Linked DNA regions of Arabidopsis thaliana. The protein of the gene in region 1 interacts with the protein of each later gene in a pairwise test. Each region holds a gene or a part of one and is shown on either strand. Other genes may lie near its edges.

Region 1 (3,928 bases):
AGACTAGAGTAAGTGTTTGGGTTTCTTATGAGTTTCCTCCACACCATTATCAATATCAGCCGAGTCATCACACTCGCTGGTGGCATATGTTTTACCGGTACAGTTTCACCCGTTTCTATAGCTTCTTTAGGGTTTAGCTCTGCTGTGGAGTTACACCGAAGCTTGTGTAGTCCGTTAGGCACTTCCTTTACCCTCTCCGACTCTTCTTCCCCGCCATAGTCCCCGTTCATCGGACCAGCTACAAATTTAAGCAAATACAGTTTGAGATTTGTGTCCATATGTTACAAAAAAAAATACAATTTAAAAGTTAAAAACCTTTGTTTTCACCATTTTGAGTATGATCAGAGATCAACATTCGAATCTCTTTTGCACCGCCTTGATCGGATTTTCCGACTTGTTCATTGGCTCCATTATCAACTTGAAGACCAGCTCGGTCCGAAACGGGTGATCCGTTGGATCCCCAAACAAACATATGAAGCTCCTTAGCATCATTACTATTTGATTTTCCTACATGATGATGATTCTCTTTTGGAGCTTTACTACCGGTTTTATTACCGGTAGAAAACTCCGGATTAGGAGCTGGGTACGACCCGGGAGCTCCTCCCGGGTAATACCCGAATCTTGGCGAAGAAGCCATAGCACAACTCTCCTCAAAATTCGAAGGTCTAGGAGTAGGTCCTCTCGAGGACTGAACAGAGTACATATCCGCCGGACCAAAGTTCGAAAGCCGGCCACCGGGAAACCCCATCATAGAGTAAAAATCAGAATGATTGAAGTTAGATCCTCTTGGAGTAGTGTTAAGACTATAAATCTCAGCTCCGGTGAGATTAGACGGACGAGGAGTCATATTAGTACCACCACCACCGTAAAAAGATCTCCGAGAAGCGTTTGATTTTCTCACCGTAACATGAAGCTTACCATCGTCACCGATTTGAGCATCAGTTTCAAGAAAATCATGTCCATCTAAAGAAACAACATCGGACTCAACTTTGAACGATACAATCGAAGCACCAGTCTCTGGAAACTGTTCCATGATCAAGATCTTAGCTCCTCTGTATTCGAAAAGAAAGAGAAGAAGCGTGTACCAGATTATACACTGAAGAACAACGATCTGAACCATGAGTGAGCCGGAATATTCTCCGTACATGGCGATCAAGAGAGGTATTCCCATAACGAGAGTGTTGGGAAGTGTTGAAAGAGAGAAGATTGTGATGCTCCATTCAAGACTACCGGAGCGAGTGAAGTTAGCCCAGATGATTAGGAGAGTGAGCATGATTAGTTTTTGGAGTGTATCGGCTGCGATGAATCGGAGATTCATTGCGTAAGGATTGTTTGAGGAGATGAAGTGGAAAGAGAGAAGAGGGACGGCGAAAATAGCGACGAAGCGGTTTATGCCGGAACATTGGTCTGGTGAGAAGATTTTCCACCACCGGACTGAGCCGTAAGCGAGGATCATGGCTACGTAGAGTGGTATCACCGCCGTGAGGACGGTGTAGAGGTCGTGCCATGTGATCATATTGTTGTTCGCCGGAGTGGCAAAAGTGTAATTTTGAGTGTGGAAACCGTTAGGAAGTGAGTTAGTGTCAGTCTCTGTTCTCTATGTGATGACGGAAGCTTTTAACAGAGAAGCTAGTGAGTGTGTGAGAGAGAGAGAGAGAAGGAGAAGATTTGATGATTTTTAGATTTACGAGAGATGTCCCTTTACAGCTTTTTATACAGCAAACACATGACGACCTAATTAGTTCTTATTTCTATTTTATTACTTCTTTAAACATTTATAAACCTTATCTATTTTTGTACTTTTTAATACTATATATATCTTAGCTTTCCCCTAATTTATGTACCATTTAAGATGATATAAAGAAATATCATTTATGTAGTATTTATAAGTTATGGTTATGAATTGTGTTTGAAATAGGTTATGAATTTGTTACGAAATTGACTGAGATTTTTTAGAGTGGACTGACTGTCTACATGTCACACATAAATGAAAATTTCCATTCAATGAATTTTGTGAATCCTTGATAAAAACAATAAAGAGATATTGTGGTTTACCAAGAAAAAAGAAGAAATTAAGTGTGGTTTCATCTAAAAGTAATCATAATATTTTTTTATATACACGTAAATGCCGGTCCAAAACTTCTTGGGCCACTTAACGTATTACTAGGATTGATTTCTCATAAGCTCGTTGTGAGATAAAATACAAGTGTGCATTTGGCCCAAACAGAAACAATGTCGTAGTGGTGATTTAAACATGTGCTTATAAGGAGCAAAAGATCACTATAAATTGGTAAAGAAGGTGCAATGCAAGATCATATTCGCCGAACTAAGTTGACCTAAATTCTATTTCTTATTGTCTAATCGTCTTTTTTTTTTCAAGCTAGGGTTAATTATAACATCCTATGCAATCCCAAGAAATCTCACTTTTAAGCCACCCTGTCCATTTTCTTTCAGATGGTCTATCATGCATTCTATGTGGCCTTTTAAAAAAAGGTTGGAGTTTTTCGTTGTTGTTGTCGGGAAAGTATTAGTGTAAAAGAATACCTTATGCCATATGGAAGACTGGAAGTCACAATGTTATCAAGATCTTTCCGCGACCGTATCAAGAATTGTTTTTTCCTAGAAGTCACAATGTTATCATAGCTTTGAATGAATTCGATTAACTTCAGAAATATTTTATCATTTCACAAAAGTAGTAACATCTTATTAAAAATATCTATTAGTTTATGTTATCAGTTCATTTCATCTTTTAATCTAGCTAAATTTTCAATTCGATTTGATTTATAGACCAGTTTTATTTTGAGATAAATTTCTTGCTTATAACGTTTACACAATTATAATCGCAGACACATAGCTGATTTGAAGTCTTCTTGAAAGCAATTGCTTCTTCGATTCATCCGCGTCGGTTTATCCCTCTTGACAATTACACATTGACTTTTGATATATAATGTAAGCTCTAACTTGGCAAAGTTCTTAACACAATTCTGCTCATGGTTTGGTCATATTTTCTAATATTATAAAACATAATTATCTTAAATAAAAATATTATTTTTATTTTTTTATTTAATCAGTTTATTTCATAAATAATTTGGATATACATCCGTTTGATCTAGCTAAGATATCAATTCGATTCTAGATCAATTTTATTCTCGGAGACTAAACATGGCCTAGTAAACTACAAAATGGCGAAATCATACAAACATATCTTGACCAAAATCATCACTGAAGAAAGAGAGAGAAGAACGTAATATTACATCTGTACTGAAATTAAAAGATGAAAAAGAGACAAAAAGAAAAATTTAACCATCGGTTAAATATCAATATTGGACCGATACAAAAAATTATAGTTAAACGTTACTGAGAGATGGCCCTTTAAGAGAGAGCGACGCAACGGCCTCAGCGACGGTTAAGAAGAGAAACTCGGGCCTCATGAACTCTTTTTGTTCGTCAGCTCTTTGAAGCTTCTCCACCACTTCGCTTAGAGGGTTCACAAACACAAGCTTCACACATAAAATAAATATCCAGTTTAGATCAAAATCTAATTAGTTTCCTTGGATAAGTGACAAAATCGGATTGTGAAAACAACTATTTTTACCTCGATGTCCTTCTTGGCGGTTGTTTTCTTAAGTTCCTTAAAAAAGGACACTCCGTTTGTGTCTACACCGCTCACGGCTTTAACATATATAAAAGCAAAGTTAGCTAGTTGAAATATATTGGTTTTCTTGAGTTTTATGGTTTTGCATTAGAAAATTAAAACTAATTAGCAATGAGTGAATTTGCCTTTAAGTCTAATCACATTTCCTATACGGGTTTCTAATAGATTCTATCAAGACTAACCTGACATTTCAAGAATCAAGAACTGTAGGCTAGAATGCTTCTCTTGAGCTTCCTCTTCTTCGCATTCTTCAATCCAACGAGATGTTCTACA
Region 2 (3,928 bases), on another chromosome or scaffold:
GAATTTCGTACATGCATATAAATGACATTTTATGGTAAAACATTTCCCCTATTTCAGTGTTCCATTTCAATACTCAAAATCTATAGTTGGTATTTGTAGAAATTAATCAAATATAGTTGGTTTTTTAATTTTTCTTTCAAGAATTTTTTTTATATCTATTAAAATTATGTTTATGTAATGTAAGTTATCTAACTCTTTTAGGGCAATTATTTTTTTAATGTTACATTTAAATACTTGTGAACACCAATTAAAGATTTTGAGTATGGAATTCAAAATTGCTTACATATATCTTCCAAAGACCAAATGAAAATTGCTTACACAATTACACTATCTTCAAGTCTTTGAGACTCGGTGATGAAGCCTCAAGTAAAACTTCCTCGTCCTATAAACCACACTCAAACTCAAAACCATAGCCATTAGACACAACATGGACATGAGACTGCACGTGACTGAATAACACACCGAGCCCGTGCAGACGAGCGACTCAGTCTCTGTGGTGGGTCCGGCTTGCTTTCTGGCGTAGTAGTCATAGATGTTACTAGCGATCACACCTGAGAACACAAATGACCCAATAGGCAAAGCTGTAATCTGGAAATTGTAAAGAGAACCGAAGCTCTTCAGGCCAAAAATGTCAGAGACTGAAGCAGGAGCAATCGCCCAATGAGCGCCATAACCCATTCCTATCACAATGGTCACTACGTAGATCTTCCCTGGCCAATCTATGGCATAGTAGATGAGCCCCAAAGACATTATCGCCTGAACCACAGACATTGCCAACGTTCTTGGAAGTGAGAGTTTCCTTTTGAAGAGGCAGAAAGAGATGAATCTGTCAGTAAAAAACACAGATGCTTCTTAAAAGCGAAAGTGAAATGGTTAAGGGTTTTGTACCTTATGATTAGCTCAGAGAAGTAGCCACCAGCAACACGGCCGAGAAAATTGGAGATGCTGATCAGTGAGACAAATATTTTGGTGTTGCTGTACCCGAGGGAATAACAAATCTGACCAAGATTGTCTATAATCGTGATTCCCGAACCTACACCTAGAACCAGAGACATAAATATAAGCCAGAAGTCAGCTTGTCCCAAAGCTTGTAACAAGGTGAAATCTTCTCCTATACACGGCGCTCTTTTCTTTTCCGGCGGTCTGTCACTTCTCTCAATTAAAGTTCTAGCCTCATGCTGATCCACATTGGAAGTTCCTTCTTCAGGCTTCACTGAGGTGACATTATTACCCGAGATGAAAACCGATGAAAAAGGGACAAGAACTGGAACAACCATGAAAATGACAAGGATGGCTCCAGAGGTTGTGATAATCGTTTGAGTCATATCAAAAACACTCTGAAGTACCAACAATCCTAGTAAATATACCGCAAGGACAACACAGAAACCGTAAATAGCCAGGAATCTTAAATCATCAGATCGCAAGTTCGTTCTGCAACTTCTTTCCACGGGTCTAACAATAAATAGTAGAGCAAGAACCACGACTGGTGGTCCAAGAGCAACCATGAGAATAACCGAAGAATCATGAGAAGGGTTGAACATCAAATAAACCTGAGTCAAGATTGCTCCACTCAAGCCAGAAAACCCTTTCAGGATTCCCACCACAGGACCTCGGCTTTCTGGGAAGTTATGAATGCATGACACAAGCGACGCTGTATTGTAGTATGTTTCCCCATTTGTTCCCACGAATATAGCAACAAACAACTACATGAACAAATAAACCAGAATCAAGCAGGATCACACTCATATGTAAGCTTTAACATCTTTTTTTTTTTTTTTTTTTGAATATCTGGAAGTTCAAGCCAAAATTAGAGAATCGTACAAATAATCAAAAGCAAAGCACAATTACTAACGAAATCGCAAATGTGTAAGCAATTTTGATTTGTAAAATTCATCTCACCATCCAGAGAGGCAAATTAGGCAATTGGCCAGTGACGACGAGCCAAACAACACCGTAGCCGAAAAGGTTCTGAGTTGCACCGACGAGTAGAACCACCCAGGAAGGTGAGACTTCAGATAAAGCACCGGAGACGAATCCGATGGCGTCACCGAGGTTTTTAGCTACGCCGAGAAGAGCGATCTGTTTCTGATTGTAGCCAAGGGAAGTCTTGATTGCCGGAGACATAGAGCCGCCGAATAGATAGCCAACGCCGGCGACGGATTGGACCCACATGGCGCAGACGAAAACTAGCCATCGGTCGTTGACTAGGAGCTCTAGTTTGTGACGCCACAAAGTCATCATAGTCAAACGCTCTCAAAACTTTCTATTTCTTTTTTTTTTTCGTTGATTCATATGATTACTTATTTTGTAATTTTCAGTTTCAAAGAAAAGTTTGGACAACACCGTAAATACAAATAAAATGTTTACTTATTTATATACAATTCATGTGTAAGGTTGAGAAACAAATAAGCAACAAGATAAAAAAAAAAAAAAAACACGAATCAATGAAGAGGTATACACTTCACAAGCTTAGGTTTAAAAATTGGTTTGCAAAAGCATTCACTTTTGTATCTCCCCAAAATGAATCTGTTAGTTTGAGTTGCGCTTAAGGTACACCAAAACTCCAAGTCCAGCAGCAAGAGCAGCCCCGGCTGCAACCGTTTTGTAAGCGGCTGCCCATGAGTTTGACTGGTCGTAGTCCATATCCTCTGAACTTAGACCTCTCCTGTGCCCTCTTTCTTCTGTGTAGTCCAAATGCAATTTTAAACCCTGCACCATTTGGAATCCCCAACCCAAATATACTCTTCTTTAGCCCAAAATCCACATTAACCAAAACGAGACCGCGGATTTAAGGTATCATTTCATCCTAGTTCTTTACACTAATTGACAATAAGTATGGATGTACAATTTATTACCTTCCAGCCTATTGATTTTGCATGTTCTACAGCAGCTCCAAGATCATTATCTGATGCTAAAACAACTTTGTCATTGTCTTCATCTTCGTACTACACAACACAAAATATGTCAACAAAAGAAGAAAATTTTTCCTATCTTCTCGTTTAATAAGTTTTCGAATAAATATGTACCATTATCTGAGGCAAGTTATCAGGCTCAATGTCATCCCCCATTCTTTGTAGGATTGCTGTTATCAGAGTTGTCAAACTCTGTGTTTCTGTTATTGAAAAGTAAAAACAAAAGGTTAATGGACTAAGCAGCATTGGCATAATAGGTGTCCTGTTTCTCAAGAGTTATGATTTAACGTACCACACATAAATCTATGCATTCGTCCCTTTTTATCTTGGAGTTTAAAAGCAAATGTGTTGGGATATGAAAATGATTTTGTTACTTCTATCTCCGAAGATAATTTCATCGACTCTTCTTCACTGAAAAATCATATGATCCAGTTTAAGAAACCACCTTATGGTCAAAACTAAATGGTTCAAAGGAATATGAGTAGAAACCTCCTCGTTTCATCGCCATCTTCGTTAGGAGACAAAGCCATAGCAGAGTCCCAAAACTTTTGCATCATTGAGTTTGCTGTCTCATTGTTTATTCCAGCCGTACTTCCAGCCTTGTCAAAAGGAAATAAAGAGTTTATAGCAAAACAAGAATAGTATGCAACAAATATATCATGTTCTTTCTTCTCTCGGATTGTTTATCGATCTTGTCTCATGTTTTCGACTTCAACTAGAAGAGAATAATAGAAGAAAAAAAGTGTACCGTAGTAACAGCAGCATGAGTTATGTGGATCACATCAATAACAGCGACAACATCTCCATCTGTATGTAATCATCAACATTAGACAAGTGTTGAAATAACAATGCTTCATACTTTATAGCTCAAAGTCAGTTTTGAGGACATTTTGTTACCTTTATCCAATACAGGAAGATGCAGAAATTTGCCATTATGCATGATATGTAAGGCTTCAACAATTGCCATATCAACTGTTGCAGATTCTGGATTCGGTGTCATAACCTATAGAATAATG

The links.
Region 2: the proteins of PIN7 (region 1) and AT5G50520 interact in a protein complementation assay, tested with the Arabidopsis thaliana proteins (one large-scale study listed by BioGRID).

Annotation. Positions count from the first base shown.
Region 1 is NC_003070.9:8,181,891-8,185,818, forward strand, and holds the start of PIN7 (Auxin efflux carrier family protein), read right to left. Parts: upstream 1,761-3,928; 5' UTR 1,517-1,760; coding exon 316-1,516; intron 239-315; coding exon 1-238. Other genes in the region: AST91 (sulfate transporter 91), read right to left, coding at 3,348-3,500, 3,596-3,672, 3,838-3,923. UniProt on the Arabidopsis thaliana protein: Acts as a component of the auxin efflux carrier. Mediates the initial auxin gradient which contributes to the establishment of the apical-basal axis in early embryogenesis.
Region 2 is NC_003076.8:20,569,347-20,573,274, forward strand, and holds AT5G50520 (Major facilitator superfamily protein), read right to left. Parts: upstream 2,311-3,928; 5' UTR 2,242-2,310; coding exon 1,900-2,241; intron 1,704-1,899; coding exon 889-1,703; intron 800-888; coding exon 334-799; 3' UTR 187-333; downstream 1-186. Other genes in the region: AT5G50530 (CBS / octicosapeptide/Phox/Bemp1 (PB1) domains-containing protein), read right to left, coding at 2,530-2,709, 2,856-2,945, 3,027-3,112, 3,205-3,323, 3,402-3,511, 3,661-3,719, 3,810-3,915.